Linked DNA regions of Drosophila melanogaster. The protein of the gene in region 2 interacts with the protein of the main gene of each other region in a pairwise test. Each region holds a gene or a part of one and is shown on either strand. Other genes may lie near its edges.

The links. The genes of interacting proteins can lie anywhere in the genome.
Region 1: the proteins of euc (region 2) and mtgo interact in a two-hybrid assay, tested with the Drosophila melanogaster proteins (one large-scale study listed by BioGRID).

Annotation. Positions count from the first base shown.
Region 1 is NT_033779.5:16,543,378-16,547,136, forward strand, and holds the start of mtgo (miles to go), read left to right. Parts: upstream 1-1,638; 5' UTR 1,639-2,061; intron 2,062-3,759.
Region 2 is NT_033777.3:18,977,658-18,980,750, reverse strand, and holds euc (eucalyptus), read left to right. Parts: upstream 1-1,941; 5' UTR 1,942-1,977; coding exon 1,978-2,107; intron 2,108-2,167; coding exon 2,168-2,376; 3' UTR 2,377-2,478; downstream 2,479-3,093. Other genes in the region: Smu1 spliceosomal factor, read left to right, coding at 1-66, 123-381, 449-1,527, 1,590-1,688.

The DNA of each region.
Region 1 (3,759 bases), on a different chromosome or scaffold from region 2:
CGGCTTTCACATTTAATTTACATTTTAGCGTGGACACCTACCGCAATGGTTTGGTTATATGCTAACGCTTTCCTTAAGCTCTTGTAAAAGTTTTGTAAGTACTAGTGTTATACGGAGATTTTGTTAACAATTTCATTGAAGTATTTACATACGTAAGAATTTCAACAGAAATGTATCCTCCCAGTCGGGTTCATTTAAAAGGATTAACGGTATTTTGAAAAATAAATTATACAAAAAGATTTACAATCTATAACGTAGCTTAGAAAATGAATTTCAATTATCATTTTATTATATATTTTATAGAAATTGACTTGAATAATGTGGTGTCCATTGCAAAACGGATTAGCAGGACTAGACTTATATTACGAGTCATTTTTCGATTCTCCCACTTATGTATATTGTTCAATTGACCTTTGATAATACAAAATTGCCTAGATTTCAAATAATATTACGTATACTAAAATTTATATATGTATGAAGTTGTTAGCCAGTTTCTTTCTTTTTTTTTCCATGAAATATTGAAATCTTCCTTCCGTTTTGCTTTGAAGTTCAAGTTATTTATTATTTGTTGTATTCTGCAAACAGCTGTTTGCATTTCGGCCGGCGTCGCAAAAGCAACAATTTTCAACCGCGTAAAGCTTTTGGCCTCTTGAGCCATAATTTCATACAGGTTGCAGGCTTGGAAAAATAACTCAATCTGGACTCACCTACTCACTCTCACTCTCTCCCTCTCCCTCTTCCAACCTTTCCTTTATTCACTCACTCTCCCACGCGATTTTTGGAACAAAAACGACGGCAGAGGAAATGCAGCGCAGTCGACGCCAAAAGGGATATTTTATATTATATATTAAGCCCGTCCTTAAATATGAATTTCCCAATCCTATTCTTATTCAAATTATAAAATGTATATTTAGCTTTAAGTTTAAAATATTGTTAAGTCGTACTCGGCTTCATTACGTAAATATCTTATTCATATAATTTTTGTACACGTAGTGTCACATGATAGAGTAATCAAATAAATGCATTTGGTAATAAGCTGATCTTCTGGACATTCAAATAACTATGCTCAAAAACCTTGCTGGCCCTTGATTCACTTAATAACTCAATTTTAGGACTTTCAGTGGGTGGAAATTTCCCTGGCACCCACGCAAACGAACGGGTTAAAAGATAGTGAAAAAGAGAGAGCGCACGAAAGCAACAATTGCTTACTCTTATGCACAAAGAAAAAATACTAACAACTTCAATTTTTGCATTGAATTACATAGAATTCGATAGAAAAGCCCAGGTCAAATAAAAAATTAAAACAATAATTTAGATAACGACTTATTTGATGTTAGATATTAGATTTAATTCGGTTAATGGGTAAGTTAGAAGAAATAATGTAAATTTTTGCATTGCAATAATGAAGCAATGAAACAAGCTTTACGTTAACGTCACATGAACTACCGTTAGCGAGCGAACAGTGCAGAAAGCGCTCAAGAGCGCGGAGCATTCCAATGCGTTGGAGTAAGAGCGTGCAGAATTCGTGGGAGCAAATTGGCGCCCGAATCAGCCGCTTTTCGTAACTCACTCAATGCGAATTGTTTTCAAGCGCCGGAGAGAATCTATATAGAGGGGCTTCTCCGACTCGCTTCGAATATGTTTTTCGCAGCGCGCGCGTTCGCATCGGAAAATCAGAAAAGCTGGCAAGCGTTTAAAAACAAATTCGGCAGGTACAATTGTTACTTGTTTTCCCCTCAGTTGACTATTTCGTCGCAGGTTTTTGGCCAGCGGAAACCATCGTAATAACCGTTTATCGTTATTTTATTATATTCGCGTAAATCGTTGTTTGTTCAACCACAGAATACTTGTTGTTACGCATTTCGAAAATGGAAATGCGAAAATTTCCAAGCAGTGAAAATCAAAACGAATAAAATATATTGGCTGCTTTTCGTGTTTAGCGCGTACGTGTGTGTTTCTGTGTTAGTGAGTGCAGCAAGAAATAAAACCAAAAAGCAACAAATAAATAAATAGAAAACAAAAGCAAAATCAAATCCAAATTCAAAGGCAAATACTTGCAAAGTAAGTTGATAATATCAGAGTGTGGTGCTAGCATATGTTGCATTATTTTGCCCAGCAATTTACATGTTTTTCACATTTTCTTCTCTCACAAATGACAACTAACTAATATGGATGATATTAACGGTGTTTAGAGTTGGCTTTTCCATTGAGAAATATGAAAAAATGCGTTCAATATGTTAGCGTACACACACACACAAGCGGCGGCTAACTGTTGTTTGTGTGTATGTGGGTGAATTGGCAATAACGCGCACGTGTATTAGTGTGTGTTTGTTTTTGTTGCCTTTGCGGCCAAGTGGCAGCAAAACGTTGCAAGCAACAAAAACAATAACTACGATGGCAAAACAAGTGCAGTCAGCAAAACCAACTCAACCAGTGCCTCTCGCGCTCTCCCACTCTCTCTCTCTCTAATACCCAAGCCCACCTCCTGCTCCCACACTCACCCTTCTCCCTCGCACCCATTGACGCAACTGCATGGTCAGGGCTTCTTTTACTGTTACAAAGCTCATGCGTGGACCCAATAGCAAAATGAATGCACGATGTACTTAGTTCATTAATTCCGCCAAATCAGAAATTATAATTATAAATGTACGAGTTTAATGGATTAAAGTTAGGTGTACGTAATTTTTTTAATTGTATGACCACTTTGGTGAAGCATAACCGTGGTATGAAGCTATTACAATTTCATGAACTTGGCGGCATAAACTTTGCAATTTACTATCTATGGTCGTCTTTGGATTTTTGGCTTCGCGCTTTTTGCTCTTCGAAGTGCGCTGCTCTCTTTGCGCCAAACAAAGCTCGGCCGACACTTGTCGCGTCTTTTGGATATCTGGCCTCCTCCCACCGCCCACTGCCTCTTTACATATATCTTTTACATTTTTTGCTTTCATACACTGAATAAAATTATGGGTATATACCGTACTATCAAATGTTTCTGAGTAAAAATTAATTTAAATAAAAAATTTAATTATATAATTATAAAATTATTATATAATCACTTGTATTTAATGTTGTATGTGTTGCAAATCCATTAATACTTTTAAACTTCTAGGCTTAAAAACAAATGTCTGTGAAAAAAGTGGAATTCTTGGAAAGTGTATCTCTTTGGCTTTTCCACCTCGAGGCGTTTTCGCTTGAAGCTTTTGCGAGTTTGGTTCGATTTCCATTTGCGTTTAATTGCATTTATGCATTTTTAATCGAGTTTGACTTTGGTGAGCTTTTTACTTTGGCATATGCTAGATTGTCGCCCAGACACACGGGGTTTTTTTGGGTGAAAATGGGCTCTTGCTGATCCAAAAGATAAGTTTCAGTTTCGTCCTTCTTGGTAGTGAGATGTTTGGACAAAGTTTTCTAATTGGCCTTGACGCCGTTTTCAGAGTTTTAGTGCTACTAAAAGGCAAGAGTGCGAACTTTCTGCGTCTTTAATAAGATAATTTATTTGCAATTATAATTTGGTTCATTAAAGTTAATTGAATTAAGGGCAGGCGTTACATTCCAACCAAATGGAATGACAATGGGTGTGGGGTTAAAGATAAAAGGATTTTAGTTAGTGAGGAATATATTTTGTGATAATAACGGGTAATTAAATTTTTTTTTATTTTAAACTGAACCGCTATTAGGCAATTTTGGGCATTAAATAGTTAAAAGCTTTAGATACACAGTTTCAATGCGGTATACAAAACTTCATTAATTTTCGATTAA
Region 2 (3,093 bases):
GTGATTCGGCTCATCCAGCAGTATCTGAAGGAGTCCAACCTTATGAAGACCCTGCAAACGTTACAGGTTAGTACTTACACACCGCGGAGAGAGTTTGTCTTTCAATGATCTTAAACTTTCAGGAGGAAACGGGTGTCTCCCTGAATACGGTGGACAGCGTGGATGGCTTTGTGCAGGATATCTCCAACGGGCACTGGGACACCGTGCTAAAAGTGACCCAGTCTCTCAAATTACCGGATAAGAAGCTGCTCAATCTATACGAGCAAATAGTCTTGGAGCTGATCGAGCTCAGAGAACTGGGCGCAGCAAGATCTCTGCTCCGCCAGACGGATCCCATGACCATGTTGAAGCAGCAGGAGCCCGAACGATACATCCATTTGGGTAAAATATAAGCCATTCTAAGGTTTCACTAGAGTTCGTGATTCCTAATTGGTATATTTGTCTGTAGAAAACATGCTGCAGCGCGCTTACTTCGATCCCAGGGAAGCCTATGCAGAGGGAAGTAGCAAGGAAAAGCGGCGCACGGTCATTGCCCAAGAGCTAAGTGGCGAGGTGCATGTGGTGCCCTCCTCCAGGCTCTTGGCACTCCTGGGACAGGCTCTTAAATGGCAACAGCACCAGGGACTCCTTCCGCCCGGCACCACCATTGATTTGTTCCGCGGCAAGGCGGCGATGAAGGACCAGGAAGAAGAAATGTATCCCACCCAGCTGTTCCGACAAATCAAATTTGGCCAAAAGTCGCACGTTGAGTGCGCTCAGTTCTCGCCGGATGGTCAGTATCTGATAACGGGCAGTGTGGACGGTTTCCTTGAGGTGTGGAACTTTACCACCGGCAAGGTGAGAAAGGATCTGAAGTACCAGGCGCAGGACCAGTTCATGATGATGGAACAGGCGGTGCTGGCGTTGAACTTCTCACGAGATTCCGAGATGGTGGCATCGGGCGCACAGGATGGCCAAATCAAGGTGTGGCGCATCATCACCGGTCAGTGTTTGCGTAAATTCGAGAAAGCCCACACCAAGGGAATAACCTGTCTGCAGTTCTCGCGAGATAACAGCCAGGTACTCAGCGCATCCTTCGACTACACGGTGAGACTGCACGGGCTGAAGTCGGGAAAGATGCTGAAGGAGTTCAAGGGGCATTCCTCCTTTGTGAACGAAGCCACCTTTACGCCTGACGGACACAGCGTGCTCAGCGCATCTTCCGACGGCACAGTAAAGGTTTGGTCCCTTAAAACGACCGAGTGCGTGGCCACGTACAAGCCCCTTGGCAACGAGTTGGCCGTAAACACAGTCCTCATTCTGCCCAAGAATCCCGAACACTTCATTGTCTGCAACAGATCCAATACGGTTGTCATTATGAACATGCAGGGCCAGATTGTGCGATCCTTCTCGTCGGGTAAGCGCGAGGGCGGTGCCTTTATCTCAGCCACTCTTTCGCCGCGAGGAGAGTTCATATACTGCGCTGGAGAGGATCAGGTGCTTTACTGTTTCTCCGTCTCCTCCGGTAAACTTGAACGTACTTTGAACGTAAGCTGCTCTTTAAACTATTTGTTTTCAAACTGACTTTAAACGTGATATTTATTCCATAGGTTCATGAAAAGGACGTCATTGGCCTGACACATCATCCGCATCAAAATCTACTGGCCAGCTACAGTGAGGACGGCCTGCTGAAGCTTTGGAAGCCTTAGACCATATAAGCAATTGACTTTCACACCTAGTTAGTTTTAGTTGGTGGTCTTATTTGAGCTGCCGAAATATACCTACTGACCCCAAAGCGCTTGCAGTTTTTTTCTCATGCCCTCAGCCATTCCTCACATCAATATCTTCAATCTTGCCTATATGAAACAAATTGACTTTAATTAAGCATTATGCAAAGCGCCAATCTCTCAGAGCGCTAATCCACAGAGTTTCCCTCAATTGCCTCAATCCAGCACCTAAATTAGTCGAGCAGCGACACTCAGCCGGTTCACTTGCAACATGAAGAGCGACGAGATCATCGAGAAGATACGCAACAAGTTGAAGGAATCGGATCCTGCCCGGCGCACCGTCGTCAACACGTTTCAGTTCAACTTCACCGATGCGGATGGTAATCTCATCAAGAGCATGGGTGAGTGGGAAAGAGGATGCCTGGTTGTGGGTCAGCCCACCGTTGACCGTCTCATCGTAGTCTTTGATTTCAAAGCGTTGGACATCTACGAGGGGAGTGCCACCAGTGTCGATGCACAGGTCACCATTTCCGATGAGGACTTCTACTTGGTGGGCACTAAGCAGAAGACTTTCCAGGAGGTGTTGCAGCAGGAGAAGGCTAAGATCGATGGCGATGAGGAGGCTATCAACAAAATGCTGGAGAAGTTTCGCATAAATTCTCAAAACTAGCTCGGTGTCAAAAGTAATTATGCATGCATTTCGTTTATTATATGCGACAATTTAACGTTTATTGTTTATTCACTTCACCCCAATAATAAATTATAACAAATTAAAATATTTCTATTTAATTCTAAGGGAAGTCAAGAAAGAAATTAGTAGGAGTTACAACAATTAAAAAATAAACAATTATCCCACCAAAAAATGTAATCAAATCGTGACTTATTTAATTGGTTTTAGTATTCATTTATTTAATTACCTTTATTTATATTTAATGTTAACATGGAATTGTTTTTGTAGGTGTTTCCTTTTAATTTGAAATTTTTGTTCTGCGATTTATCATTTAACTATTTTATTTGTTATTCGGTTATCTCTCTTTTTGGCAACTGGCGCCATGTTCTCTGCCAATAAGTGCGCCCGAGATTCGGTTTTCTGATTTCTGTATCGGGTTTTTGAAATTTGAAAAACGTCTCTCAATTCAAATGTGTTTGACTCCTTTCTTTGAGTGTCTTATTTATAGGTTTAATTGTAATTTTAACATTTGCTTTTTGGGGTGTTTTAGTTTAACTTTGTGTTACTTTAGTAAACATTTTAGTTTAGAACATTTTCTTTTTTGGTTTTGGGATAGGTTTTTTTGCTGGGGACATTATTTTTCAAACTTTTTATTAGCTTTACGTTTTCGTACTATTTTTCTTTAAATTTATGTTTAATTTTTATTGCTAGAACACA